Arabidopsis thaliana: one gene and its partner. The protein of the gene in region 1 interacts with the protein of each later gene in a pairwise test. Each region holds a gene or a part of one and is shown in the gene's direction. Other genes may lie near its edges. The genes, in order: RIP4 and KINESIN-13A.

Region 1 (14,329 bases):
CCTATGTAGAACAAAAGTTCATGATTGAACTGGATCAGAATTGGTTCGAATGTCACCATACATATCAAAAGGGTATTACTGTAAAATACATATCCACATTAGTAGTTTGTTCGGACTGAACGTGAGATGAGTGTATGTTTACATATCCACGTAAGTATTTCGTAGATATACATTTTGTCCTCATATTACTTTAAATACATGTAGAACAAGAAAATCAAAATGCAAGAATGTATAGAAAGTGCCAAAGTGGTGGGTGAAACCACTGGAAATCGAATATGTGGTTCATACATTACGTGATACGTACACGTTACACGTTAATTAAGTTATAGCAAAGTAAAGATAACGGAGCTAGTTGGTAATTAGTCGTGTAAAAGGTTAAACAACTTCTTTATCAAAAAAAGAAAATAAATCAATTAAATAGCTTATATTCTTTGCTGAAAAGGATTTAATGGGCTACTTATATTATATTTTGGTTCATTCAAAATGCGTAAGATATGCGAAGAGTAATTTTGAATGAACCAAAATATAGTTAGGAAAATACCCAATTAGTTGTAGATGCAATGGGCTACTTATATTGGGCCATAGTGGGCTTATACTAGGCCACAAAATGAATACTAATTCACAATTATGACTACCGTGTGCCACTTAAATTAAAGACGCGAACTGTAAAATAATCCTACGCGCACCTAGAGCGCGTCAACGACACGAATACAAAACGGCTGGACTCGTCCAGAGATTTCGTCGTTTTTCAGCAAAATTAAAACAAAAGGCGAGTGGAGATATCAACTTTTACAATCCGCTGAAACGTTTATGTTTTATGACTTGGCCCAAACTTCTTCTACTCGAGAGAATATAGCTGGAAATTATAACAGTTACTATCAAAGAAATTGATAAGATTTATTGTTCTCTTTCAAATCTTCACTTCCCTTTAGAAGGGTTCAAACATGAACAAACTAAACGAGTGATCAGAGAATATCAGGAATTACAAATATAATAAAAGCTACGAAAAAACTAATCAGGATCATATAATAAAAACTCAAAATGTGGATCACCGGATGCAAGACGGAGGAGAAATCTTGCCACCTATCCAACCGCCAACATTCTCACACACAGAGGTTGCTGGACCGTCTCTCCCACGGTGCACTATGTTAATGTTGAAGAGCTGAACGTTTTTGCAAGGAACATTCTTGCTACATTGCAACTTCACTGCCTCCTTGGCCGTCGACGTTCCCCAAATGTTTTGGAACTTCACGTCTCTTATCTGAATCTTTGAAAAAGACTACAATAAAAAGAAGAAAATCAAATTAGGTCATGTCAAAAAGACTAAAACCTTGTTTCTTGTTAAGGAAGTTACCTGAAAGCTGCACGGTGGATTTGGACAGTATCGTTGATCTATGTTGATTGGGCTTTGGACATCAATCATCTGGAGATTCTTGAAAAGAAAATTCGAAACTAAGTTCGGTTCACCCGGCGAAGGCCATGTCTTGATTCGTACTCCATTACTCGTACCATTAAAGATTGAATTCCTAACAATTAATCCCTGAACGCTCTTCTCACCTTTAAACTTCCCAAGACTTCCAACGCTGATTCCATGGCCCGGTCCACAGTTGACTTTGTTGATATCCAAATTGAAGGTTCCCGACAAGATAGCGATGCAGTCGTCGCCAGTTGCTATGTCAACGTGGTGGATCTTCATGTGGTTTGATGAACCTATCTTGATTCCATCAGTGTTAGGGCTATCTCCGGGAGCCTTAATGTTGACGCGTGTGATATCAAAGTGTTGGACTGAGAAGAAGTTGAGGTGGCCCATTTTGCTATTGATCGATTTGATGCGCGTGAGTCTCGAGAATCTCACGAACTGGAACCCCATGTTCATCGGTAGAGCCCGGCAATTATGGGTTTGGCGGCAATTGTTGAGTGGCCAAGAGTAGCTTCCTTGTCCGTCAAGGATGCCGCCGCCTGAAACCGTGAGATAGTCAACGTACCTAAAAATAATCCAGCTGTCTTGTTTGATGGCGTTAGGATCTTTTGGAGCTAACAAAGTTCCTTTGATGATGAAACTAATCCGACTTTTACATGGTCCCGTGAAGGCTACAGCACCGAGGTAGAAGGTTCCAAATGGTATATACACTCTAGGTAATCCTTTCCATTGGCAAGCGTCTTTCCACGCCTTTGTAAATGCCTAAAACGCCAAATCAAGACAATAAGTCAAACATGTGTTAGAATTAATCAACAAATTCAGAACATTAATGTTGAATAAGTTGGATCAAAAACAAAACTAGAAATTTCACTACCATAGTATTGTCTGTTTTGCCGTCACCACGAGCACCATAGCTTCGAACATCGAAGACTTTTCTTCCGACGAGAGCGGCTGAAGGGGCGGCTGAAATGCTACTAGCGACGGCAGCTATGAACAAAATTAAGCTAAAACCGGAGATAGTGGACACCATTTCTTTGTTTTTGATAATTGACAATGTACAAAAAAAAAGTAGTTATGATTGAGAGAATGATAGTATCGTATTGTGTTCCATCGTATTATATACCAGTGCGATCTCTAGACACTTCTATAAGAAACCTACATCAGTGGCTGAAATTTTGGGTTGAAATTTAATGGTTTCGTCAATCATACAGATTGATTTATTTCTGAATTAATGTGTTTCTATAAGAGTACCAATTGATTTGTTTCTGACTGCTGATATGATTCTAAATTATAACGGTATATTTTAAAAATTCCTTAAATATGAGCAGAATAATAGTATATAAGGTAAACTGTTCCAATCTTGTCGAACAATTTGTGGATCAAAATTATCAATAAATTGCTTCTGTACGGATCGATCAGTGTTTTCGCAGTAATTTAGGTTTCGAATTACAACAACCAAATTGGATCGGTTACCAAAAACAAGTTGTACATACCATAGATAGCATGGAAAATATCACACCCGTATTAAATATTTGAATTAAAACCACTAAAAAGTTGTTTATAAGTGTATAGTTGTGTTAGGGCTTGGATAATTTATGTGGGCAATTTGGGTCTGAATAACTTTTTAGATTAGCCCATGTAGCATAACACCCACCCAACAGAACACGCCACCAAACACCCATATTTTATTTGGGAAATATGGGCTTCACTTTTGTAACAAACCCAATAACTTGTGCTACATGGGCTGGGCTAATCTCAAGACACAACTCTACACGATGTAACAAGCTAAACTCATAGTTTCGAATCTGATTGGAATTTAATTTTGTAAAGTAAAATATTACGGATTGTTTAAAAAAAAGAAATTGATCTTCGGTGAATTTTTATCTGCTATAAAAACAGAACAATAGTTAATTACTTACTTATATTCATTCAAAGTTAAATTCCAAAATGCTGAAACTCAAATGGACATAACTTACCCCAGTCGAAATAGTTAACTATATATTACCGGCGGTAAAAGCTGAGATAAAATAACTAATCTGTTCAAACTTTGTATATACTTAATTTCAAAGGCGATCAAATAAAAAACAGTCAGGTTCCTGAGTCAAGATTTGTAGTCAAAACCTTACTCTGATCCGTTATAGCCAAACTTGACTTTCCCTTTGTATGTTCATCAGTCTATTAATATTGATATCAAAACTGTACGTACAATAACGTACTGCACCAAATTTTATCAACAAACAAAAAATAGACTATACATAATTACGTATCAACTTCTAAAAGTTGTAGTGTAGTGATAAATGATAACGGATTGATTTGTATTTACCTTAAGGCTTAAACTGATCCATATATAATTTTATTCTTCATATGAAAATTTTGGTAAAGCCAATATAATTTTTGTGTGGTTGGTAACAACTGAAAATAATTAGGGCTATCGCAAAAGTACAACCGTACAATGAACTAATTTGCAATTTCTGAGAAGAATTTTGTTAGTGAAAGTCTGAGTCAACAAAACAAAAATTCAGGGAATTGAATGAATGATTGGGTCCCTTTATGAAACTCCCCATGAAACATCGTATGTAACTATCAGTGACTTCTTGTGCATCATGCTGAACTTCTAATCTCTTTTTTTTTTTTTTTTTTCTAATCTCTTTTAAATAGTAAAATCTACAAAAATATGATCCATTACTCATTTATATCAATATTTAAAATAAAATAAAATCTATATATCAATATAATTCAAGATGCAAACATTTAAAATTTACCTTACAATGATGTGAGTATATGTTACCTCCTATTTTTTATGTTTTAAACCGTATAAAATTTTCATATGCTGTTGGCTGTGGAAAAAGGGAAAACATGGTTATTAACTAAAAGCCCCATTTGGGATGTTTTGATTAGAAATTTTTATCTTGAAAAAATAAACTAAAGCCATTAGTGTTTTCTTTGTCGATGGAAAAAAAAGACATCACCTTTTGAAGAAAAAAATGACATCACCTTACTATTTTCTAGAAGCATAATCAAAGACGATTATATTTTGTCATAACGAAATAGTGTGGGGGGACGTGCAAAATTCTACTCACGTGTAAATACTTGGTAAGTTTTCAGTAGTTTTTTCTTAGGCTGTTTCACGTGATGTAACAGGATTTCATCAAAGAAGGCGTGCTTTGACCCAATCTAATGAAAATACACTATGATTTTTGGTAATTTTAATACTTTTGATGGTGATAGTGATATATAAATTTTAATGTTTGGTCCTTCAAGGCTGCTAGATTTTATTAACGGTCAACATGTCTTAATGATCAAAGGTCCTATCTATGCACAAAGCCATGTGCTTTTCGATTGATCTCAGTAAATGTTGAATGATTGTTGCTTTGTATAACAAATAGTTACCTTGTTTAATATTCTCAACAATAGGTTATAAAAATAATTATATGTAGTTAATCTTTGATTTTAAATAATTACTATTAAGTTATTTTCTTGCAGTTTCAAAATTGTTTTAAGTTTACCGTTGCTGTTAAATTCTAAAGAATATACAGAATGCAGTAATTGTTTCATCAACAGATGTATAAAAAGTCTTTAATTAGTCAAAAAAATTCTTCATTCATAAAATTCATTGGTAAGCATTTCTAGACTAGAGCCGTAAATATTTTCGGCCAATATAATAATTAGGAAAATATTTATTAGGAATTCAACGAATATGATAAAAAACGTTGGTCGTCGAAAATGTATCATGACGTCAGGAAGAAAAAAAACAAGAAAAAAATAGGTCGTCACATATGTTTTCATGTAGGACAAGATTACGATTATAAAATCGTTTCAAAAAGAATACGAAAAAATTTACTTGAATGAGTCACTTCAGTACCCCACAGAGATTATATCTTTCTCTCTTTAATCTCTCTATAAATACCTAAGTATGCAACTATGCATATAAATCTACAAAACATCTGAACACCCAAAGACACAGGAAGAGAGCTAAAGCTGATATATACTAAGTACTAAGATCATTTGATCAACCTAATCATCAACACCACAAAATTTTCTTTTCTTGTTTCTCTAATCGATTAATTTAGTAATAATGTCTGGAAGAGGGAAAGTGAAATCGGAGCCGATGAAGGTTGTGTTCATTAACACACAGTATGTTGAGACAGATGCTCGTAGCTTCAAGACCGTTGTTCAAGAACTCACCGGTAAGAACGCCATCGTCGCCGCCGGTCCTTTTGATTCGCCCTCTGCTTTCGACGGCCGTTGTTACGATGGCGGTAGTAAAATCGGTGAAGATACCAGACAGCTCCACGGCGGTGGCGGCGGAGGAGGACGAATGGGGACGACGACGGAGTTCGATAGATTATTCAAAGAGATGCCTCACATGGAAGAATTGTATAAACTATGGTCAGAATATTGAGTCATTAATAATTTCTGTGCAATGATTTTTAAATCATTCGTTTTCTTCCAAAATCTTTTCTTTTTTATCTAATGAGATAATGTTGTTGTTGATTTGATTTAATCATCTTAACTGGATCGTCACTCTTGAGATTAGGTCCAATAACGAATGTTGTGTTTTGGAAAGTAATTATGAGTTACCTTTCAGTACGGCCCATGTCTCCGAATTTTAAACGGGCTTATTATAGCTTTCATATGTTGTTTAAAAGGACCATGAAGCCCAAGTATATGCGAGATTAATACTTGGTTCTCTTATTTTCTGTGTATTTGGGTTTTAGAACCAATTATCAAAACAAGAAGTGTGAGTGTGTGACAAAGGCATTGAAAGCGACTAGCAGATTAAGAAGTCAGGCCTCAACTATGGGCTTTTCTCTATGGGGCGTCTTTGCTACCCAAGTCCAACTAGGTATTACTTTTTTTTCCATATTTTTTATATATTTATATTTCATGTTTTTCTTTTCTTGCAAAATAATGTTTTTAACTAAAAGAATTTTGATTTCACTAAAATTAGTAATTTCACTAAAAACTGTTTAATTCTTGTGACTATTTCACAATTTTTAGAATCCAACATGCGATACAGTTCACAACAACCAAATGAAGCATTATATGAACTAATCTTCTTGTGTTTATATATAAAACAGGTTTTTGTGTAAGTGCGTAAATGGCTGAGGCAAATAGCAACAAAACTCATGGTTAACCTTCTCTAACCAACCTTAACCAATTTTGTGTTGGGTGAACCATTTCCTTTCATCAACCCAAAACACACTCACGATTTTAATCGTCTCATCTACAATTCTTGTTTTATTTAACGTTCTTTCTTAATCTAGCTTTCTGGTAGTTATTTTCAGGGTTTTTTCTGGTATATAGTTGGGTTGATTCAACGATTATCCGAAACATTATACGTCAACATACAATACAAGTCTATTAAAAATTATTAGCTAATAGAAGTAGAACCTACTAAGCTATATTGTCGTCAACAAGAACCATTTTTAAATTCAATTAAATATAACATTAACGCCGACTAATCTAGTTTATGAAATATCACCAAAACTTTGAACACATAATGAGTCTCGTAACACACCAAAGATACTAACTTCTTTATTTTTTTCCATTAATAAATTTGATGGTAAATTACGAATATTGGACTATACAATTATGCAAATGCGACAAACAAAGATACAATTAAAGAATAAAATGTTAAAAAAGACATTATTCTGATCCAACTCGGTGCTTAAGACAAAACCGCCTTCACAAGATTTCGTATATTCTAATCCTTTTTTGGTCAACAAACAAAAAAAAACATAAATAAACGTAACGACGTCGTTTTACACGAAAATGAAAAACACACGCGAAGAAAGAAGCGCGTGGAGAGGAAGAAAGAAGCAAAGAGTTGGATTCTTTGGCTCGTCTCTTACTCCATCGTTTCCTGTTCCCTTTTAGCTTCTCCACATCATCACCATCTCTCTCTCTCTCTCTCTCTCTCTCTCTCTCTTCTGAGATTTTTCCGTCGAAATATTAAAAAGAAATTTGCAGATACAGAACTTGTTCTAATCTCTCTCTGTTTTTTTTCCCTATGAATTTTATATAATACGAAAGAGACACACAACACTGTATTATCTTTGCTTCTCTCTTCTCTCTCTTTCTATCTCTACAGAGTAAAGTTCTGATCGTGTCTCTTATCGTTTACCCAAAAACCCTTGTTTGATCTCTCGTCTCTTGTTTTCTTCTGCCCTCGAAGTTTTCAGGTTTCTTTCTTCTCCGATTTATCCTTCTTTTTCCGTACTTTTTTATCAGAACTTGTAGGGTTTCTTCTGTTTCAATTCGTGGAATATTTTGCAACTTCGATACGTAAATTACGTAATTAGGGTTTGATAATGTTTTATGTAACCAGCCCCGAATTGAATTAGTTCCAAAGTTAGGGTTTTTCTCTCTCAAATTAGGGTTTTGCCCCAATTGTGTTCTTATATTGAATTTACCATTTGCGCAGGTTATGTGGTGGAGGTTGTTTCCAATTTAAAGTATGTACCTTTAGGTTAGAAATTAGGCTTATTTGTTTCTCCAGTGGGTTTCATTGTAGAAACAAATTGAATTTTAGGTGTTAATGTGAGATTAGGAAACAGAATCTCTGCTTTTAACAAGGTAATAGGAGAATAGGGTTTAGTAGAAGAAAGGTTAAAACTTTGTGATGGGTAATAAGTTGGGAAGGAAGAGGCAAGTGGTGGAAGAAAGGTATACAAAGCCTCAAGGTTTGTATGTGAATAAAGATGTCGACGTTAAAAAGCTCAGAAAACTGATTGTGGAGTCTAAGCTTGCTCCTTGCTATCCTGGAGACGATGAAAGCTGTCATGATCTTGAAGAATGTCCAATTTGTTTTCTGGTTTGTGAATTTCTCTCAGTCTCTGTAACTACTACATTCTTGTCATGTAAGATCTAACTTTGTGATATTTGCTTCTTGTGTTTCTAGTACTATCCTAGCCTCAATAGATCAAGATGTTGCATGAAAAGCATTTGTACAGGTAACACATTCAATAACACTTTAGCTTCTTTGTTCTATTCATGTTTCCATTTCATTTGACATGGCATTCTTTGTTCATTTGTTGCAGAGTGTTTTTTGCAAATGAAGAATCCTAATTCAGCTCGGCCTACTCAGTATCCTTCATTTTAAATCCTTTGCATAAGCTTTTAGGGGCTTCTTTAACATTTGGCTTAATGTTTGAGAAAATTTCTTATTAATTTGATGGGTTTTTTCCCTTTTGTGTCCTCCTTGACATTTATGAGGTGCCCTTTTTGTAAAACTCCCAACTATGCTGTCGAGTATCGTGGAGTCAAGTCAAAGGAGGAAAAGGGCATTGAACAAGTTGTAAGTCTTAAAATTTCCACACAACATAACTTTTTTCTAGATAAGCTTTGATGAAATGGTGCTTTACTCAAGTGGTATATTCTGTCACTGTATCTTTTTGCAGGAAGAGCAACGGGTAATAGAAGCCAAAATAAGGATGAGGCAGAAAGAAATGCAGGATGATGAAGAGAAAATGCAGAAACGTCTTGAATCATGTTCCTCTAGCACAAGCGCAATGACTGGCGAGATGGAATATGGTTCAACTTCAGGTCGGTTTATTTTTACTGCAAGAACGTGTTAAATCTTCCATCAGGAACAAACAAAGGCGGTTTTGACAGGCTTCCTTTTTGTCCCTTGGTTTGCAGCCATATCTTATAACTCCCTCATGGATGACGGGGAAATTGCTCCATCGCAGAACGCATCTGTTGTTAGACAACATTCCCGCCCGCGAGGAAACAGGTCTGTCTTTCCATTGGCTGCTCTGTTTTTTTTTTTTGTCAACTTCATATATGGAGTAATGTAGTAGTTGTAACCATGAAATTTCTGAATTACAATGACACCGTGATTAGACTTTTTTTGTTTTGTTTTTTGGAGCTAAGTGATATGAACACAGATTCACTTAGAAATGAAGAGTGATTCATATATTTGATTTGTCTATAAACTCTTCAGGGAGGATGAGGTTGACGTTGACCTTGAGGAATTGATGGTCATGGAAGCAATATGGCTCTCTGTTCAGGTAAAATTATTTGTTTGTATAACTTTTGATATTAAATTTTTCAGTTCTCTCATAGCTTTTTAAACTGATTCTAACAGGAAACAGGGACGCAGAGAAATTCAGCTTCAGGGGAAATTACCTCTTCTAGGCAGTATGTAACAGATAATCATAGTTATGTTTCTTCACCACCACGAGTGACTCCAATCGTAGAACCAGCAACACCGTCTTCATCATCTGGTGGGCTTTCTTGTGCAATCTCCGCACTTGCTGAACGCCAAATGGTTGGCGAATCCTCCAGTCACAATCATAATCACAATGTCAACGTTTCTTCATACAGTATGCTTCCCGGAAATTGTGACAGTTACTACGACATAGAACAAGAGGTAGATGGCATAGACAACCATCATCATCATCGTCATCATTACGAGATGGGAGAAACAGGAAGCAGCAACAGCTATGTAAGTTCTTACATGACAGGCGAGGGCTTCCACAACTTTCCTCCTCCTCCACCTCTGGTCATTGTTCCAGAGAGTTTTGAGGAACAGATGATGATGGCTATGGCTGTGTCTATGGCAGAGGTTCATGCCACGACGACATGTGCACCAACTGAAGTTACCTGGCAATAAATAGGATAATAATGGAAACTCATGGGTCTGAATCTGATGATGATTATAACTTCATTCATATATGTCTGTTCCTATAGGAAGAAAGAAAAGAAACGAAATGATTTCCAGTTTTAATAGAAAAAGGTTGGGTTGTGTTACAGCTTCTTTAATTCTTTGTGGTTCTTCTTTTTCAATCTGCATTGACAAAAAATTTGAAGATCACTTGTTTTGTGTCTCTTTGATTGCAAATTTCTAAATGGAGAAGAGAAGGTCAAAGTTGGTGATTGTTGACCAAAGCAGTAATTAGGGGTTTAGGGTTCTAGAGTCGGCTTTTGTCAACATATATGTCTTCTAGAGTCTTTGTATGGGTTCGTTATAAGATGGAAATTATAAAAGATAATTAATGGATTATGATTTATGACTAGCAGCTAACTAATTTTCAACATTTAATATCTTGATTTGAGCAGCTAATGTTTGTGTTAGTGTGTCTTATGGGGTTTCTTACTTTCTTCTATGAATTTATGTTCGAAAAAGAGAATAATGGACCTCTAATTTCACAACTCCCAAAACTCAGTATCTTGATTTTTTTTGTTCTTTTGGGTACTGATTGATATGTAGTACTCTTATTAGTTACTTGAATTATCAACAACATCATCATAAAAAGAACCAAAAGTTAAAGGTAGATGCTACTTACAATCAAAAATCATAGTGGCGCTGAATTTTACTTACAATTTGCTCTGTACTATTTTCAATTGTCAACTTTTACTTTATACTACAAAAATGTAGTGAGTGATTAATGTTATGTAAAAAACATAAATAGATAGTTGGCACATAAAAGTGAAATAAAAATAATTAGTAGTGATTGATATTTCATCTTGAACACAGATTGTTACGGGGTTTTGTTTTTCAACATTGTGTATGGGTTTCTTTAATATAAAGCTTGAATGTTGTACATTATATCCATTTTCATATAGTAGTGTTATGATATTTACCATTAGGAATCCCAAATTTGAAGTACAATGAAACATTGAAACCTAAAATAATAGATATAAAAATGGGTATATTCATACATTAAGCTTAACATATATCAATATATTGGTTTACGGTTTTATAAAGTAAAAAAAATAAAAAGAGAACGATTGGAATATAAAAAGAAGAAGAGAAACTAAAAGAAAAGAGTTTGAACTTTGTTGAAACCGACAAAAAGAAAGAAACAATGTCAGACCGATTGATAAGGGTACCCACACATGCGTGTAATAAATTATTTATCTCTTAAACCATTTTTTGTCTTTATAAATAGAAGTAACATGATTTGATTCAAAATTTTATATTTAGCTCGTATGTTAGGTTTAGGGTTCTTAACTTCTTGTGTAATTGCCTTGTTTCCCATTTTTTGGCTGTCGTTTACGCCAAATTTTGTACTACATTTTGTGAAATTCAGTAGAAATCCGTTAGAATTTTTTTTAAAAAAACCTCCAATGAACGAAGGAATTGGTACAATTTGGCAACTTTTATAATCAAATCATGCAAAGATACGGAATCTTAATGTAGTAAAAGATAATTAAAAACAAAACATTATGATTACATGTAAATGTGGGACATCACCCTCCAAGACATGTAAATTACACTTTTGTCCTTTATCTTCCCCCAAAGGTCATTCACTTTCACCAGCTTTATTTCAAATCTTCCAACGTCTACTTTTTCAATATCTCTCTGCTTCTTGAATTGAGAGTCTCTCTCTCTGGACATAAAGCTACGACCTCTCTTTTCTCCACATTTTGGGTTTTCTTGTCTTCGTGTTCTTGTTTCTATCAACAAAATTAATCACACCAGCAGCATATTCAAAAACAATTTCCTCTTTGTCCTTCTTTATTATTTCTCTGCTTGCATTACTTGTTAAGACTATATCGCAATCATTCTTCGTATTCAATTCCACAGGTGAAACCCCAGAAAGTACTCTACATTATCCTCAAGGTTAGTTTCTACAATTAGACCAACCCATTTACTTATGTGTGTATGCAAGATAAGAAACTTTTCCTCAAGAGAAATCTGATTCAAGTCTTGGTGAAAGATTGAAGTTTGTTATCTTAGATCTTCTAAAGCGTTTGGTGAAAGATTGAAGTTTGTTATCTTAGATCTTCTAAAGCGTTTTTGAGTAAAAGCAAAAGCAATGTGTTGTTATATCTCACTTGTGTCTGGTTTGACTCCAATAGTGGAATCTGTTTAAGAGTTTCTCACTCTCACTTAGTGGCGCGTGGCTTACCAGTTCATATATCTGCTTTATTCTGAGGAATGTTTTCGTTTTCATCAGATCATTAACCTTTGGAGAGTCAGCAACTTTGCATAAATCAGAATGCCAAAACCAAGGTTAGGGTTTTACTTCAATTCTTGATGAAAAATGTGATTTAGATTTTTCTTGTTGTTAGTCTCTATGATCTGATATGTGTCTTCTTTGATCTGTGAGTAGTATTAGAGGTTCAGAGTTGCCTCAGAGGCAATCTCCTAGGCTAAGGACATCACTGTTGTCCACTTCCTCTGATCCGCATCACCTCAGCCGTCCGATTACAGACCGGAGTCCAAAGCTCGGCCTTGACCGTAGATCTCCAAGGAGTGGTGGGCCTCATACAGATCCGCTGAGTCAGAAGAAGCTTGGAAGTCGCATCTCTGGCTTGGAGTCACAGCTAGGACAAGCCCAAGAAGAGTTGAGATTGCTCAAACAGCAGTTGGCTAAAGCCGAGGCTGCCAAGAAACGTGCTCAAGAAGAGCTTCATAGGAAGAAATCCAAGAAACCGAACACTCCTGCTCCGGAGAGAGATGACATTCCTGGAGATGGACATCAAGAGACAGATGTGTTCGAGGTTCTTGATGAGAAAGCAAAAGAAAGTGAGAAGACGAAGAATGATGAATTGGCTTCTAAGGAAGACCAAATCAATGTATTGAAAGCTAGATTATATGACTTGGAGAAAGAAAGGGTATCACTTAGCGAGGAGAATGAGACCTTGAAGGATCAGTTGAAGAAGACGGATACGGAAATGTCCTGCGCAAAGGCGAAAGAGGATGAGATAGCTTCAAAGGTGAGTCAGATTGGGGAAGAATTGGAAGAAAGCAATGAGACCACAGCGAAGCTAAAGAAGAAGCTCGAATCCGTGGAAGAAGCAAAAGAGACTCTAGAAGCTGAGATGAAGAAGCTGAAGGTCCAAACAGAGCAGTGGAGGAAAGCAGCAGATGCTGCAGCTGCGGTTTTATCTGGAGGGGTTGAGATGAATGGTCGGTTCTCAGAGCAGTGTGGGTCAATGGAGAAGCATTTTGCAGGCAGGTTTGTCGGATCACCGGGAATGGCTGATGATTCGGATGACGGGTCTGGGAAGAGGAAAAGTTCTGGGAAGAAGATGTTCGGTGACTTATGGAAGAAGAAAGGGCAGAAATGAAGTGATATAATAAATAAAAAGTAGCGTGTATTTCAAGAAAGCAGTGTGCTCTTTAACTTCGGATGATCTAAGTGTGTGTGTCGACGAAATGATGGCTCATCATTTCCATAGATTCTTAGTAATGAAACATTTAGACAATGATTGTGTGCTGCTTCACAGAAGCTAATTTATCAAATTCCTATTCAACTGCAAAATCTGCTCACTTGTCTGTAATTTATTTCATTGATCAGTTACATCTTCTTTATGAGGATTGAATTAGGTGTCATTGTTAACGTAATTGCCATTGGAACCGGTTTAGGATTCTGAACAAGTTGGGACTTGGGACTTACCATACTCTTCCGGTTCGATATCTCCCAAGAGTGTAAGACTAGTATGAAGATTATTTTCTTTGAACTTCGACAAATTCAAGATTTTAAAACTTTCTAAGAATATAAAAACATTTGTCGACACTCGGCAAAAATAAGAATTATATGAAGTTTTGGTGTCGTTATAAACTTTTATATATCAACGTTATGAACATATACAAGTTGGTCCATGGGATGATGTGGTATCATATGGCAAATATATACAATGACAAGTCGTTTTCCCTTTAAAGATTGGCGGAATTTCTAAGTATATGACGAATCATTTAAATATATGTCTATATCACTAAACATATTGGTGCCCAAAAGAAATTCTCGGACCACATTCGACGTGTAATATTGAGATTTTCGGTTGTAATGTCTTTGTCGATATCTTTAATGTTGTTATAAAGTTATAAGAAAAAACTGTTACAAGATTTGATCCAACAATATACTATCATGTGTACAAGGTATTTATCCACGCACCGTGTAGGACATATTTATTTTGAAATAATTTATATAACACAATAAGATGTACACA
Region 2 (17,583 bases), on another chromosome or scaffold:
CATTGGACATGAAAAGTTCAGATCAGGAGAAGAGTAATTAATATACAGATGAGATGAAATCCATCATCGAGTTTAAACCTTATTCTGCTCAAGGTCCCAGCATTTGACTTGCTTGTCATCACCAGCAGAAAACATATAGGTATGTCTATTGCTTACAGCGAGGCCTGTGAAACAATAATTATATAAACTTAGAGAGTTGAAACTTTTACACTGGTACTTTTCTACAAGAGCTATTGATAAACTAACAAATTGAGGGGGAAAAAAATAGTAGTCTAACCTCGTACTTGCCCTATATGTCCAGTAAGTGTGAGTTTCAGAACTCCAGTCGCTACATCCCATATCTAGTGAACAAGAGCCACAGAAGCAATCAGTAAGATTAATTCATGAGATATAGGTAAATGTTGCATGAAGAACTAAAAAACGGGACCTAGCAAATGACAATTCATATTATAGAATCCAGAAAAGGTTACAGAAGAATGGGAAAAAAGGCATTGAATTAGATTTTCAATAGAGTTGATCCGTTACCTTGATGGTACGATCAGCTGAACCAGTGCAAAACCATTCATTGCTTGGGTCAAACGCAACAGATCTGACCCAACCCAAGTGTCCCTGGAGCACCTGTCAACCAAAAAATGCATCAATTCATAAGAACATAAAGTACTCTCTGGACGCCAACAAATGGCCTAAGAATACCTACACACTTAAATGTTATATCCATAAGATGCAGAAATATTACAGTAACACAGATCTTACCCTGTAATTCTTCCATGGTGCATGCCACTCTGGACGGGGCCATCTACTAGGCATTCTCTCCATTAAAGCAGCAGTTGACAGATTTCTGTAACACATAGAGGGGAAATGATGGACAAATAATGAATAACTGAAGCATTGATACAAGTTAGATGCATTTCAGGTTAAATAAATATGGCCAAATTTAAATTTCATGACTCTGAACCACCAATTCACCTTAGTGCGGCTTTATGTACCACCTAGGTATCGCAATCTAGATGTAGTGTCGTTATAGAGAGTCCATAAAAGTAGATAAGGATGCGACACAAACCTTTCGGAAAATGATCCAGGTGCAGGAAGAATGGCCGTGCTTTTGCCTGGATTACCAGTATTGTTCCTTCAATTCAAGAATCAATAATTATCAGTATCAATCAGCACGATAAGTAGAGCATCAATCACAAAGACAAAACAGGAATAACATTCTTGAGAATGTCGTAAATTATTTATACTAACTATATGGACTAGTCACATTCCAAATGAAAATGTATACTCACAAGTCTCTTGGCGGTAAAGTTGGACCAACAACTAAAGCTTTCTCTGTTGCGCTTTTTCGAAGTTCCTTGGACCCTTTTGGACCTGCGGAGAAAATAATTTGGTCTTTCAGAACGAGAAACAATAGTCATGAAAAAGGCTAAAAGATTACACTAACAGCGTTTTTAGTGCAGCAGAAGTTTGTTTGAAAAGATACTCTTAAGAGGATACATTACTGAAACTTGTTTTCCAATCCTAATTATAGACATATATGAATGAAACTCACAACTAATATAAATAGATATCAGGGAAACTAGAAAATAGGAAACTAGTTTTGTCTCACAACAGGAAAAACAGATAAAAGAACTACCTGGAAGCGCAAGGGCTTTCAATGGAGCCGTCTTTTCACTGTTATGGTCAGCAATACGTGTAGGCTTACTTGCAGGTTCTACGCCTCCAAATGCAACTTGAATCTATACAAGTAACGTCCAAGTCATTAACTTTTATATTCTACTTGATGTTCACTAAAACGCTTGATGCAAACTAAACATCTTACTATAAAGATGAGGGTAATATGCTAGAAAGCAAACTCAAACAATAGTAGCTGATGAGAAGAATCTAACTCCAGATAAAAGGTAAACTATAAAAGTGATAAGCCATTGACTGTTCGATTTACACCTTATAAAATTTTCTCAGGTTCAACGTCTCTGAAGCTTGCTATAAAGCTATCCATTATCAAACTCAAAACAAAGAAGAAGCGAACAAAATTTTCAACACGATCAAAGATAAAATTTAAAAAATATTCGAAAACCCCCTTACCTTATGGCAGAGCCGAATTCTTTTGCTGCGAGACAAGAACAAAAACAGACAAGAAGAAGAAATCGTCAATACACATAAAAATTCTGAGAAATTTCGAGAAAAAAAAGTGGACATTGCAAGCGAAACTGTTGATTAACCTTTCAGGATCAGGCTGAGGAAATTGGCCATGGACGGGGGAGAAAATTTCACGAGCTCGTCTAACAGATTTTAGACTGAGTTTTTTCAGTGACTGAGTTTCGACCTCCCTGTTCAAAGCTATCATCGTCATTCTAGGGTTTTACACGAACAATCAGAAACAGAACGAGAAAGACGGAAGAGAAGAGAGGGAAATAGGATTTTATCCGACCCGAACACTATTTATACGTAGCCCAACACTCGAATCCCCACCCGTTGGACCAAACCCGGCTCATTAAGCGTCGGTTCAGATTTATTTCCTTTATTTAAAAAAAAGGAAAGGGTAAAAAATAGAAAATTGGAAACAGTTAAAGCCCAAAATTGTAATTTACCGAGAATTGTAAATTTACCTGAAAACCCTACGCTATAGTTTCGACTATAAATACCAAACTTAGGACCTCACTTCAGAATCCCCTCGTCGCTGCGTCTCTCTCCCGCAACCTTCGATTTTCGTTTATTCGCATCCATCGGAGAGAGAAAACAATCAATAAGCGACCATGTTGGTGTACCAAGATCTTCTCACCGGTAAGCTCAATAATTCCTTAATCTCGGTATGAACTGTGTAGCTATCGATCTTTTTCTTCCGATCGGAATAAATCATGTTATCGAATTGTTAGATCTGTCATCGCATCATAGGTTTTTCGTTGATTTGCTGCTCTTTGCATTGATAATTCAAATCTTAGGGGATTAGTTTATGTGATTTGGTTAGATCTGTGATTCATTAGTATATAAACGTCCTTTAATTGAGCTTACCGATTCGTTGTAGATTGGATTTTAGGGTTTATTCGCTTGTATCGATTAATGTTTGGGATCTTATGAGTAATGACTAAAGAGTCTGGGCTATTGATTTACAGGTGATGAGCTTCTGTCTGACTCTTTCCCTTACAAGGAGATTGAGAATGGAATCCTCTGGGAAGTAGAAGGAAAGGTCAGTGTCATCGATTCTACTTCAAGTTTTGTTTTGATTTTGTTAAATTTTTGTTTTCCTGTTCTGAATTGGGTTTTGATTTTGTTATCCAGTGGGTTACTGTGGGAGCTGTAGATGTTAACATTGGTGCCAATCCATCTGCTGAAGAAGGTGGTGAGGATGAAGGTGTTGATGACTCTACTCAAAAGGTTGTTGACATTGTCGACACCTTCAGACTTCAGGAGCAACCAACTTATGACAAGAAGGGATTCATCGCTTACATTAAGAAATACATTAAGCTTTTGACACCCAAGCTCAGCGAAGAAGATCAAGCTGTCTTCAAGAAGGGTATTGAGGGAGCTACCAAGTTTTTGCTCCCCAGGCTCAGTGACTTCCAATTGTAAGTTACCCCAATCTATCGTATCTTGCTTGTTATACATGACATATATTTCATCTGAAATCTCATCAATGCTTGTGTTGTCTGATTTTACAGCTTTGTTGGGGAGGGTATGCATGATGACAGCACTTTGGTCTTTGCTTACTACAAGGAGGGTTCAACTAACCCAACATTTTTGTACTTCGCTCATGGTTTGAAGGAGGTCAAGTGCTGAGAGAGAAGCTCTCGTTGGGTTACTGTGGTCGGTCGCAGCGACTCTCTAAGTTTATGTTTCTTTATATTGTCCTGTGTTTCGTCGTCGTCCCCTATTAAAATTACCTGCCAGTTTACTTTTCTCTCTTCTTGTTTTCTGTGTTGGAAGATTCTCAAGTTATTTATTCCGCAAAAAACGGTTTATCATTTACAATTAGTTGAATTTTGGTCGTTACTTTTTGTGTTATTTGGTGTGATATCTCTTCAGCTTTGCTTTTCTAAATTAAACTCCCGAATCTCGAGGCATGTTTATAGTAGATGTCTAATAATTTTGGATTCAGATCTTATGGACGTGAATAAACGAGTGGGTTACTCTAACTGTTAGTAACTTTAAATCATGGAATATGCTGTAGAATGATTCTTTTGACTTTAGTCTAATGGTGTTTTATCCCTTTAAAAAGAAAAAGTTTCGTACAGACATGATGTCTTGAGACATCATCATAGGCATGTTCTGCTCCTTATCAAGGATTTCTATCTCACGTGCGGAATCGATACTAACTAGAGTTCTGTCATCTTGGTTTTAGTTGTGAGACAAATCACAATGTGGCCGTAATAATAATGTATTATGTGTATTCTTTTACTTTGACAAACAACACAACCTATCCTATGCTTTACTATTCTTTTAGTTTGTTGGTTTTATTATTCGAACTATTTATTTATGTATGTGTGGTGTCCGTATGGATGAGAGGGCAACCAAAATGCGTTGGTACGTATTTGTGTCTCACGTAAAAGGAAACGTGATTTGGTCTTGGTCGGTTTGACGTTGCTCCAACTCTCTTGTATCTTATGTATTTATCGTCATTATTTCTTCAAACTTTGTTGTTCCTTTCGTTTTAGGCTTTTAGCCTACACTATTTAAACATTTCTTATGTAACAAGTAGTATCAACTTCTATCTATATGACTATATTGACGTAGCCATACAAAGGAGGTAGATCATCTAAACTTACACAAAACTAGAGAGACCAATGTTTTTAGGAAGGATAAATAAAGGAAAAGCTCCTTTCATACTGGTTTATATAGTGATTACTTAAAATCAGGAATCCTTTAGATCGGAATGCTTTAGGCTAAAGCAAAAGCTTTTTGATTCAAAAGAAAGGAACCCACAAGCTGTATTAGCCCCACTTCGCTACTTTTGCATATTCTCGTTCGTATATTTTATTGGATTAACACTTTTTTTTGGGGTTTAAACAGTACACATACATACACAAGATTGGTACTTTTGATATACACTCACTTATATTCGCACATCTAAACAATTCAAAATTTGAAACCGTATAAAAATTTAAACAAACATAAGAATATATAAGATTAGATCATTGTCATGTACTAAAATTCCAAAAGTTGTGGATTTCATGTCGAGAAAAACTCATGTCATCTTCCTCGGACAATTTCAAATTTCATCTCTATTACCATAGATGGTCCAAAACAACATCCTTAAATACCATAAAGTAGCTAAAATCTGAAAATGCACATAACTGATCAACCCACCAAGGTTATATTATTAGTTATACTACATATATAATAAACCAATCAATGTTTATGCAATCTGCTCAAAAAGGTATGAGATTCATACCGTATGATTCAAGATGAGAACATCAATTCTATTTTTATGTCACCATGTTGGTATATGTCCTTGTGTCACGATCTCAGCAAAAAAATAATATTTCAACACTATCTTTTAGAATATATAAGACCGTTCAAAGAAGATTGTTTCAAATGTTTTGGACTAGACTGTACAATCTTAAAAAGTAGGACAAATCGGTGAATATTTCTGAAGTTAAAGGGTGATCTAACTGTCACTTTTTTAAAAAACTTTTAAACACCTCAAACTTTTTAATTTATTGTGTAAGTGTCTTATACTTTGTCAAATCTTCTTCAACGCCCCTCTCTTTCTCATCTCTCTGCGCCTAACGTCGCTTACGGAAGAAGACGAAAATTTTGAACAGAAGCTCTCTCTCTCTATCTCTCTATCTCTCTATCTCTAACGCTATTCGATGTGCGTAAATTAGGGTTCTTCACTCGTCGGATCTGATTGTATATTGTGAAAATCTCAGATCTCAGATCTCTTATCTAACACCGTTGCGTGTCTTCGTTTCCTTCTGGTAATCATTACTTTGGATAACATCGATCTTCTTCTCCGATTATTGGATGCAATTTATTGATTGAATTTCAGATTTTGAAGGAGGTGAAGCAAAGTCGGGAGCTGTACATTTCCGCTTTCATGTTCTGTGTTGAATCCGAATTCTCTCCACATTGTGAGTTTCTCTTCGATTTGAATCTAACATTCTATTGTTGAAATTAGGAATTTTTTGATTTGTAACAAATGGGTGATTCTGGTTTTTGTATGGATGAAGAGTTGTTTTTACAGATCTCCGAAGTTGGCTCCTCAAAGAAGATCACAGCGCCTCATGGGCGGCCAAATGCAGCAAAACAATGCTGCGGCTGCGACGGCGCTTTACGATGGGGCTTTACCCACTAATGACGCAGGAGATGCAGTCATGGCACGGTGGCTTCAATCCGCTGGTTTGCAGCATTTGGCGTCTCCTGTTGCTTCTACAGGCAATGATCAGCGTCACCTCCCAAACCTTCTCATGCAGGTAATTGCTTTCCCTGATTCTTTGTTTCTGTACTCTTCCAATATTTTGCATGCCCTTTAGTTTTCTTGATGGAGTTTGCCCTAGCTTGGTAAAGTATGCAAATTTTGTATTAGACGCAGATAGCCAAGTTTTGTTAGAGTTTTCGGTCGCTAATTCCTGCGCACATTTGGTGTTAGACTACTAAAAACGCTGCAGTAGGAAATTAGGAATGTAGGATTGTTTCTCCCTGTTATGGATATTAGTCATAACGTATCTCAAGGAGAGCTTGGAATTTGTTTGGCCATTTATGTAATGTGATTAAGTTAGATGTTTGCTGCAGGGTTGTTAGTGATTTCTTCTTCGATTGGTAAATTTCTATAGAAACTTTTGCCTTGGCTCTTGTATAATTCGCATGAACGGGTTCTGATATTTGAAGCATCCTTTGTGGTGTTTGCGGTATCTGCTAGGGTTATGGAGCTCAGACTGCTGAAGAGAAACAAAGACTGTTCCAACTAATGAGAAATCTCAATTTTAATGGGGAGTCGACTTCTGAATCATATACACCAACTGCTCACACATCAGCAGCTATGCCCTCTTCGGAAGGATTTTTTTCACCTGAGTTCAGAGGTGATTTTGGAGCAGGATTATTGGATCTTCATGCAATGGATGATACAGAGCTTCTATCTGAGGTATGCTTGGAAGAAGAACTAGTGCAAAGACTTATTCATAGTTACTCATTAGTGCCCATGGATAACAGAAAGATCATAAATTTTCATCATCAGATTGTCTGTTCTTGTGTTACATCCCAGTTTTCAAACTGTTCTTGCCAATCTTACATTGCCATATTGAGTCCCACCTAATCCATTGGCTTTGTGCACATGTAATCTATCTGCGAGACTTCTGTAGGCAACTTCTGATCTTGACACTCGAATGGATTTAGCGAGATGTGACAGTTTTGGTCTTGTTGTCATTAGAAAAGCATCTGAGCTAAATAACTGCTTGTTGCATTTGCTAGTTCATAAAGAAAGCGATTATCCATGTGAAAGTTACCAACTTTTATGATACGTGACTTTCCTTTCATTTTGCAGCATGTGATTACCGAACCCTTTGAGCCGTCACCTTTCATGCCTAGTGTAAATAAAGAATTTGAAGAAGACTATAATTTGGCAGCTAATCGTCAACAGCGGCAACAGACAGAAGCTGAACCTTTGGGTTTATTGCCTAAAAGTGATAAAGAAAATAACAGTGTAGCCAAGATTAAAGTAGTGGTAGGTCATTCACTTGAGAACTGACATGTTTCCTTACTACTTGATTGTTTTATAAGCAACGTTCATTATGACTAGGGATGATTGGGAAACCACTTTTTTTTTTGTCTATAGGTAAGGAAAAGACCCCTAAACAAGAAAGAAACAGCTAAAAAGGAGGAGGATGTCGTGACGGTATCTGATAATTCTTTGACTGTCCATGAGCCCAGAGTGAAGGTTTGTGTGCATTCTTCATCATAGATAACAATGGCAAACATGATTCAGTTGAACAACTGAACGATGGCATCCTGCTATTAAAGGTCATATATTCTTTTCATTTAATATTGTCTTTTCGAATATTGAATGAACCGTAATCTTGTTGGTGCAGGTTGATTTGACTGCTTATGTGGAAAAGCATGAGTTCTGCTTTGATGCTGTTCTAGATGAGGATGTTTCAAATGACGAGGTAAGTTAAGAATTGAGCTTATTGGAAACCATAGAAAATCCTATTAGGTGTCCGTGATGCAACCTTGAGCTTTGGTAGATTTATGATTTATGTCAAGGTCGACATACCTGATTGACCTATTAACTAGATCATAGCATGTGGTTTCCCCCAATCCAGATTGGATTGATGTATGGATACATTAAGCTTTTTATATATACAGAAGCTTTATGCTGCTTTGAACATGTTTGTTTGTTTCCTTGAATAGGTGTATCGGGCCACAATTGAGCCAATAATTCCCATTATTTTCCAGAGAACTAAAGCTACATGCTTTGCATATGGCCAAACAGGTATGCAATGACATTAATGTTCATTGGGAAATACACTGATAGTTATACTCTTGCTAACAGATTCCAGTTTTTAGAGGATAATAGATTAATAGTTTCTTCATGCTTTCATGGCCCTAATGATGTTTTGCTTATTCAGGTAGTGGTAAGACATTTACAATGAAACCATTACCTATACGAGCAGTTGAAGATCTTATGAGGTTGTTGCGTCAACCAGTATACAGCAATCAGAGGTTTAAATTGTGGCTCAGCTATTTTGAGATATATGGTGGAAAGCTGTTCGATCTTCTCAGTGAGAGAAAGTTAGTGTTCTTTCTTTTTCTCATTTCTTATAAATGTCGTCTTTGTTGAGGGGTTTTATGTTTTCCTTTTCTTTTGGCATATACTTTGTTCAGGCATATACTAGCTTATAATTGTTATTTCGATGTCAGTATATCGTAAACATTGGCACTTATTCATCCTATCAGTGTCAATACTTTCCATTGTTGTCTACTACTATCGCAAATGCATGTTTACCATTGTCTAAATCATTCAGTTATTGCCGAGTAGGAAACTTTGCATGCGAGAAGATGGTAGACAGCAAGTTTGCATTGTTGGCCTGCAAGAATATGAAGTTTCAGATGTACAAATTGTAAAGGATTTTATCGAGAAAGGAAATGCCGAAAGGAGCACAGGTTCAACTGGAGCAAATGAGGAATCTTCTAGATCGCATGCCATCCTACAGCTTGTTGTAAAAAAGCATGTTGAGGTAAAAGACACTAGACGGAGGAATAATGATAGTAATGAATTGCCTGGGAAAGTTGTGGGAAAGATTTCTTTCATTGACCTTGCTGGCAGTGAAAGAGGTGCAGACACCACAGACAATGATCGCCAGACAAGGTAAAGATTCTCTTTGCCCCTGTGATTGAGTAGTTTGAGAATTGACCTACCACTAATGTGTAGATTAAAATTTATGCCTCTGTTGGACTTGTGGGCATTGATAAAGTGGCACTTTGCTGCTACCTTTTTACTTTAGGACCACCACACTTCAGATCTAAATGCTTCATTGTTTTCATTGTGGATTTTTCTTAGGATTGAAGGCGCAGAAATCAACAAGAGTCTCTTGGCTCTTAAGGAATGTATACGTGCACTGGACAATGACCAGCTACATATACCATTTCGTGGAAGCAAACTAACGGAAGTGCTCCGTGACTCATTTGTTGGAAACTCAAGAACGGTGATGATTTCCTGCATCTCTCCAAATGCAGGATCGTGTGAACATACCCTCAATACTCTAAGATATGCTGATCGGTATGTTTTGTACAAACTATAGCCTCTTGTGAAACAAATTCTCAATTTCATCGTCTATTAACCTCTGTTGGTTATGTATGGAATAAACAGAGTCAAAAGTCTATCTAAAAGTGGAAATAGCAAGAAAGATCAAACTGCGAATTCAATGCCTCCGGTTAATAAGGATCCTTTGTTGGGCCCAAATGATGTAGAAGATGTCTTTGAGCCTCCACAGGAAGTGAATGTACCAGAAACCAGGAGGAGGGTGGTCGAGAAGGACAGCAACAGCAGTACGTCGGGTATTGACTTCAGACAGCCTACAAATTATCGAGAGGAAAGTGGAATCCCATCATTCTCAATGGACAAGGGAAGATCAGAGCCGAACAGTTCTTTTGCTGGCTCCACTAGTCAGAGAAACAACATTTCTTCATATCCCCAAGAAACTTCAGACCGTGAAGAGAAAGTAAAGAAAGTGTCACCACCTCGTGGGAAAGGGTTGCGGGAAGAAAAACCAGACAGACCACAAAATTGGTCTAAAAGAGATGTCAGTTCGTCGGATATCCCTACCTTGACAAATTTTAGACAGAACGCAAGTGAAACTGCTTCAAGGCAATATGAAACCGCTTCAAGGCAATATGAAACCGACCCTTCGCTTGATGAAAACCTCGATGCACTGCTTGAGGTAAAGTACTCACCTATCCCTTTAAAACATGAGATGAAGCTGTGAATTTGATTTGCAAGTAACGGTAGTTCTGTTTATGTCTTATCGTAACCATCACATGACTTTTTTCAGGAAGAAGAAGCTCTGATTGCAGCGCACAGAAAAGAAATTGAGGATACAATGGAGATTGTTCGCGAGGTATGTAAATCACATCATTGCAGCGCACAAAAAACGATTGTAGAATGTTATCACATCATTCAATTTTCTTTTCTGTTATATCATTATCAGGAAATGAAACTTCTAGCGGAGGTGGACCAACCGGGAAGCATGATAGAAAACTATGTGACGCAACTGAGCTTTGTGTTGTCCCGGAAAGCAGCAGGGCTAGTCAGTCTTCAAGCCAGGCTTGCTCGGTTCCAACACCGTCTCAAGGAACAAGAAATACTGAGCCGTAAGAGAGTTCCTCGGTAGTTGGTAGAAGAAGGAAAACCAAAAGTGTGGTGTTGTTTAAGTGTGAAAGGTTGGTTGGGTGATCTCTTCTTATATATGACAAAGAATGACAGAAATGTCCTTCATGTTTGTGAATTTGGGCATTTCTTTCCTTTTATTTTTGAATCTTTATTATAAAGTTATACCTTTTGTGTTTCTTATTTTTCTCTTCTCCTCTATCCTCCCAGAAAGCTGGATACTGTCAATGTGAATCAAACTCTTTTATCAATCAACTGAAAAAGTATAAAACCATTTATCATCTGAAAATGTTTCAAAATTTGGTGAGCCATATATAAAATCAAATTTCTAACAATTAATAAGATCTTCAAATACCATCTATATAGTGACAACCAATGAAAAGACAGTTGAATAGCTCCAAAAGAACAAATAAAGCAATTCTCTCTTGTCGTAAAGATAAAATGGCCAACAAGATTATGCAGCCCAACTAAAAAGGCCTTGGCCCACACTTTACTATTGATCACGTGACATGCCTTTTTCACGATTGCAATATAAGAGCCATTTTCCACCGTCCGATGTTAAAACCCAAACCGATTTAAACCGTCCATGAAAGTCGCTTATCTCCTTCTCCTTCCCGTCGTAGTCGCACTGTCGCAGGCGAGTAAAAGGCGATTTATACAAATACAAAAAAAGCGCATGAAGTTGTTTTTTTTTCTTTCCAGACTTTTGCCTTCTCTAACCAGGTTAGATTCTCGCCATCACTTTTTCTCCTCAATATCAATAGATTCTTCTTTGTATTTTCTGAATTCCTATGAGCAAAATATACCTACGATTTGGAAAATATTAGTTTCACTCCCATTTAATTTAGTGTCTTGTGGATTTAAAAGTAACGAGGATACAAAATTTGGTTGGTGCAGTGTTTCGTGATTTTGGGTGATCCTAGAAATGGGAGATGGGGCTGAGATTGTAACCAGGTTATATGGGGATGAGAAGAAGCTTGCAGAGGATGGTAGAATTAGTGAGTTGGTGGGATCTGATGAAGTGAAGGATAATGAAGAAGAGGTCTTTGAGGAAGCAATTGGTTCGCAGGAGGGTCTAAAACCTGAATCTCTCAAAACCGATGTGTTGCAAGAGGATTTTCCTTTAGCTTCCAATGATGAAGTGTGTGATTTGGAAGAAACAAGTAGAAATGAGAGAGGAGTAGAAAATTTAAAGGTTAATTATTCGGAGATTGGAGAGAGCCATGGTGAGGTTAACGAGCAATGTATAACTACGAAAGAGGCTGATTCTGATTTGGTGACTCTCAAAATGAATGATTATGATCACGGGGAAGTAGCAGATGCAGATATTTCTTATGGTAAAATGGCATCAAGCTTGGATGTGGTTGAGAACAGTGAGAAAGCTACTTCCAATTTAGCTACTGAGGATGTGAATTTGGAAAACGGAAATACACATTCTTCTTCAGAAAATGGAGTAGTCTCTCCTGATGAGAATAAAGAACTGGTGGCGGAAGTTATCTCAGTAAGTGCCTGTTCCGTGGAAACAGGGAGTAATGGTATTGACGACGAAAAATGGGAGGAAGAAATTGATGTATCAGCTGGCATGGTAACAGAACAAAGAAATGGTAAGACTGGTGCTGAGTTCAATAGTGTTAAAATTGTTTCAGGTGACAAATCCTTGAATGATAGTATTGAAGTAGCAGCTGGGACCTTATCTCCATTGGAAAAATCTAGTTCGGAGGAGAAGGGAGAGACTGAAAGTCAAAACAGTAATGGAGGACATGATATTCAATCTAATAAGGAAATTGTAAAGCAGCAAGATAGCAGTGTAAATATAGGTCCAGAGATTAAGGAAAGCCAACATATGGAAAGAGAATCTGAGGTATTAAGTTCTGTTTCACCAACAGAGTCTAGAAGTGATACTGCAGCATTACCACCTGCTCGCCCAGCAGGTCTTGGTCGTGCTGCTCCACTTTTGGAACCTGCACCACGCGTTACACAACAGCCTCGTGTCAATGGAAATGTGTCTCACAATCAGCCTCAGCAAGCTGAAGACTCTACCACTGCAGAGACAGATGAGCATGATGAGACCCGTGAGAAGCTCCAGTTTATCAGGGTCAAATTTTTGAGGCTTTCACATAGATTAGGGCAAACTCCACATAATGTTGTTGTTGCTCAGGTTTTGTACAGGCTTGGATTGGCTGAACAGTTGAGGGGCAGAAACGGAAGCCGTGTTGGTGCCTTTAGTTTTGATCGTGCCAGTGCCATGGCAGAACAGCTTGAGGCAGCTGCACAAGATCCCCTTGATTTTTCTTGTACGATTATGGTGCTTGGTAAAAGTGGGGTTGGTAAAAGTGCAACCATCAATTCTATTTTTGATGAACTGAAAATTAGTACTGATGCATTCCAGGTGGGGACAAAGAAGGTTCAGGATATTGAGGGTTTTGTTCAGGGAATTAAGGTACGGGTAATTGACACTCCCGGTCTCTTACCATCCTGGTCAGATCAACACAAGAATGAGAAGATCCTGAAGTCTGTTAGGGCATTCATCAAGAAAAGTCCGCCTGACATTGTGTTATATCTTGATAGGTTGGATATGCAAAGCAGAGATTCTGGTGACATGCCTCTCTTACGCACCATCACTGATGTTTTTGGACCATCAATATGGTTTAATGCCATTGTGGGTTTGACTCATGCCGCTTCGGCTCCACCAGATGGCCCAAATGGTACTGCTTCTAGCTATGACATGTTTGTGACACAACGTTCTCATGTCATCCAGCAGGCCATTCGCCAAGCAGCGGGAGATATGAGGCTCATGAACCCTGTTTCTTTAGTTGAGAACCACTCTGCTTGCAGGACAAATCGGGCAGGCCAGAGAGTATTACCTAATGGCCAAGTGTGGAAGCCTCATTTGTTATTACTCTCATTTGCATCCAAGATTCTTGCCGAAGCAAATGCTCTTCTGAAATTACAAGATAATATTCCAGGGGGACAATTTGCAACTCGGTCCAAGGCTCCGCCACTACCATTGCTCCTCTCATCGCTTCTGCAATCAAGACCACAAGCTAAGCTTCCTGAGCAACAGTACGATGATGAAGACGATGAAGATGATTTAGACGAATCATCAGATTCTGAGGAAGAATCAGAGTATGATGAGCTTCCTCCCTTTAAGCGGTTGACTAAAGCAGAGATGACTAAGCTTAGCAAATCTCAGAAGAAGGAATATCTCGATGAGATGGAGTATCGGGAGAAACTATTTATGAAGAGACAGATGAAAGAGGAAAGAAAGAGACGTAAGTTGTTGAAGAAATTTGCTGCTGAGATTAAAGATATGCCTAACGGGTATAGTGAAAATGTGGAAGAGGAGAGAAGTGAACCTGCATCTGTTCCAGTTCCAATGCCAGATTTATCTCTACCTGCATCTTTTGACTCTGACAATCCTACTCATCGGTACCGGTACCTTGATACCTCCAATCAATGGCTTGTTAGGCCAGTGCTGGAAACTCATGGGTGGGATCATGATATTGGTTATGAAGGTGTGAATGCGGAACGACTATTTGTTGTTAAAGACAAAATACCAGTATCTTTCTCTGGCCAAGTGACAAAGGACAAGAAGGATGCACATGTGCAGCTAGAATTGGCCAGCTCGGTTAAACATGGAGAAGGTAGATCAACTTCCCTAGGTTTTGACATGCAAAATGCTGGGAAGGAATTAGCGTACACTATTCGAAGTGAAACAAGATTTAACAAGTTTAGGAAAAACAAAGCAGCAGCTGGTCTCTCTGTTACGCTCTTAGGTGATTCAGTTTCCGCGGGACTAAAAGTCGAAGATAAGTTGATTGCTAATAAACGGTTCAGGATGGTTATGTCAGGTGGAGCAATGACTAGTCGTGGAGATGTTGCTTATGGTGGTACTTTAGAAGCTCAGTTTCGAGATAAAGATTATCCGCTTGGTCGGTTTTTATCAACTCTTGGACTCTCTGTGATGGATTGGCATGGCGATCTTGCTATCGGAGGGAATATACAGTCTCAAGTACCCATTGGACGTTCCTCTAATCTCATTGCTCGTGCTAATCTGAATAACAGAGGAGCAGGGCAAGTAAGCATCCGCGTAAACAGCTCTGAGCAGCTTCAACTTGCTGTGGTTGCACTTGTTCCTCTGTTCAAGAAGCTTCTTACTTATTATTCCCCTGAGCAAATGCAATATGGACACTGATGAGTAACATTTAACTGTTTTGATTTTTTCTTGAAACATGTTTTTCTTTTTTTAGTTGTCGGAATTCACTTTTGTTTTAAGTCTTTGATGTTTGGTTGTAACATATGTCTGAAACTTAAAATCCATTATCCCAATGTTTCTAAGTCTTCTTGAAACCTGTATTCGCTCAAGGAATCTGGTCTTAGGTCAGGTCATTCATCAGCATCTTCTTAAACGCTCTCTTACGTTAAGTTCCTCTACAGTGCTCGTCAATTTAACACGTCTTTACGCATCATGCAATGAAGTGGAACTTGCACGCCATGTGTTCGATGAAATTCCTCATCCAAGGATCAATCCTATTGCTTGGGATTTGATGATCAGAGCCTATGCTTCGAATGATTTCGCGGAAAAAGCTTTGGATTTGTACTACAAGATGCTGAATTCTGGTGTTAGACCCACGAAATATACGTACCCGTTTGTTTTGAAAGCATGTGCTGGTCTTCGAGCAATTGACGATGGTAAGCTGATACATAGTCATGTGAATTGTAGCGACTTTGCAACTGATATGTATGTATGTACTGCTCTGGTTGATTTCTATGCTAAGTGTGGGGAACTTGAGATGGCTATAAAGGTGTTCGACGAAATGCCTAAGAGAGATATGGTTGCTTGGAATGCTATGATTTCTGGGTTTTCTTTACATTGCTGTTTAACTGATGTCATTGGATTGTTTTTGGATATGCGTAGAATCGATGGTCTGAGTCCTAATCTATCCACCATCGTTGGGATGTTTCCTGCACTAGGAAGGGCTGGTGCATTGAGGGAAGGGAAAGCTGTTCATGGGTATTGCACAAGAATGGGTTTTAGCAATGATTTAGTTGTTAAGACTGGGATCTTGGATGTATATGCCAAGAGCAAGTGCATTATCTATGCGAGAAGAGTTTTCGATTTAGACTTTAAGAAGAATGAGGTAACCTGGAGTGCTATGATTGGAGGCTACGTAGAAAACGAAATGATAAAGGAAGCTGGAGAAGTGTTTTTTCAGATGTTGGTTAATGATAATGTGGCAATGGTGACGCCAGTTGCCATTGGGCTTATTCTGATGGGTTGTGCAAGGTTTGGAGATCTAAGTGGAGGGCGATGTGTACATTGTTACGCGGTTAAAGCAGGCTTCATCTTAGACTTAACTGTTCAAAACACCATAATTTCATTTTATGCTAAGTATGGAAGCTTATGTGATGCTTTTAGGCAGTTTAGTGAGATTGGCTTGAAAGATGTTATTTCATATAATTCTCTCATCACTGGGTGTGTAGTGAACTGTCGCCCAGAAGAGAGTTTTCGTCTATTTCATGAGATGAGAACATCTGGAATTCGTCCTGATATTACAACATTGCTTGGTGTCTTAACCGCTTGCTCTCACTTGGCTGCTTTGGGACACGGTTCTAGTTGCCACGGGTATTGTGTTGTTCATGGCTATGCAGTTAACACAAGCATTTGTAATGCACTGATGGATATGTACACAAAGTGTGGAAAACTTGATGTAGCCAAGAGAGTTTTCGACACAATGCATAAGCGGGATATAGTTTCGTGGAACACAATGCTGTTCGGATTCGGAATTCATGGTCTTGGCAAAGAAGCTCTTTCTCTGTTCAACAGTATGCAGGAAACAGGTGTGAACCCAGACGAGGTGACTCTTCTTGCTATTTTGTCTGCTTGTAGCCATTCAGGACTAGTGGATGAAGGGAAACAACTGTTCAACTCCATGTCTCGAGGAGATTTCAACGTCATCCCAAGAATAGACCATTACAATTGCATGACTGATCTTCTAGCCCGTGCCGGATACTTGGATGAAGCTTATGATTTTGTAAACAAGATGCCATTTGAGCCCGATATTCGCGTGTTGGGTACACTTCTCTCTGCTTGTTGGACGTACAAGAATGCGGAACTTGGGAATGAAGTGTCGAAAAAGATGCAGAGTCTTGGTGAAACAACAGAAAGCTTAGTTCTTCTATCCAACACCTACTCAGCTGCTGAGAGATGGGAAGATGCAGCTAGAATTAGAATGATACAGAAGAAAAGAGGGCTTCTCAAGACTCCGGGTTATAGCTGGGTCGATGTTTGATTAATGATATGAAATTAGGGTTTTGCAGTGGAAGAGAAAAACGTAATCGAGAAGGCAAAGAGAATTGCTTACTCTGTTTTCAGCTTCCTACTTGAAATCACAGCCGTTAAAAACAATTTAACTCCTGAAATCAGATAAGGACCGTTGGATTAGTATGTGTGTAATATATATATAGCAATCTTATTGGGCCAACCGACTTTACTAATAAAGTTTCGTAGTATTGAAGGTATATGGAGAAGAATATGTTAATTTGTTTCTCTTTAAAATATGTTCCTTGCGATCGTCTATTTATTTCTCTGTCCAAGCCAACCCTAACAACAGTGCGATTCTTATCCTCAGACTCGTATCATCTTTATACTAATTACGTTCCAATAAATTCGGATTCTTTCTCTGTTCTTGTTCTGCCCTGTTCTTACTTTTACCTCCTCGTGAATAAGGTTTTATAAACCCTAAACCTCAAAGTTAGTAATGTTT

What was found.
Region 2: the proteins of RIP4 (region 1) and KINESIN-13A interact in a two-hybrid assay, tested with the Arabidopsis thaliana proteins (one study listed by BioGRID).

Annotation. Positions count from the first base shown.
Region 1 is NC_003070.9:29,497,233-29,511,561, forward strand, and holds RIP4 (ROP interactive partner 2), read left to right. Parts: upstream 1-11,718; 5' UTR 11,719-11,993; intron 11,994-12,330; 5' UTR 12,331-12,372; coding exon 12,373-12,386; intron 12,387-12,486; coding exon 12,487-13,447; 3' UTR 13,448-13,789; downstream 13,790-14,329. Other genes in the region: AT1G78400 (Pectin lyase-like superfamily protein), read right to left, coding at 1,049-1,279, 1,355-2,182, 2,295-2,450; AT1G78410 (VQ motif-containing protein), read left to right, coding at 5,496-5,822; AT1G78420 (RING/U-box superfamily protein), read left to right, coding at 8,046-8,237, 8,325-8,376, 8,464-8,509, 8,639-8,720, 8,824-8,968, 9,065-9,158, 9,369-9,435, 9,513-10,040. UniProt on the Arabidopsis thaliana protein: Acts as a scaffold, mediating interaction of ROPs with different proteins.
Region 2 is NC_003074.8:5,655,897-5,673,479, reverse strand, and holds KINESIN-13A (P-loop containing nucleoside triphosphate hydrolases superfamily protein), read left to right. Parts: upstream 1-5,528; 5' UTR 5,529-5,912; intron 5,913-5,983; 5' UTR 5,984-6,065; intron 6,066-6,164; 5' UTR 6,165-6,218; coding exon 6,219-6,407; intron 6,408-6,853; coding exon 6,854-7,075; intron 7,076-7,474; coding exon 7,475-7,654; intron 7,655-7,765; coding exon 7,766-7,867; intron 7,868-8,018; coding exon 8,019-8,096; intron 8,097-8,340; coding exon 8,341-8,422; intron 8,423-8,558; coding exon 8,559-8,721; intron 8,722-8,968; coding exon 8,969-9,298; intron 9,299-9,490; coding exon 9,491-9,709; intron 9,710-9,799; coding exon 9,800-10,370; intron 10,371-10,481; coding exon 10,482-10,547; intron 10,548-10,637; coding exon 10,638-10,820; 3' UTR 10,821-11,105; downstream 11,106-17,583. Other genes in the region: AT3G16650 (Transducin/WD40 repeat-like superfamily protein), read right to left, coding at 79-164, 278-341, 526-618, 754-838, 1,061-1,126, 1,284-1,365, 1,631-1,733, 2,080-2,104 and 1 more; TCTP (translationally controlled tumor protein), read left to right, coding at 2,751-2,778, 3,108-3,181, 3,274-3,560, 3,654-3,771; TOC120 (translocon outer complex protein 120), read left to right, coding at 11,742-15,011; AT3G16610 (pentatricopeptide (PPR) repeat-containing protein), read left to right, coding at 15,145-17,109. UniProt on the Arabidopsis thaliana protein: Internal motor kinesin involved in trichome morphogenesis. Participates in regulating the formation of Golgi-associated vesicles.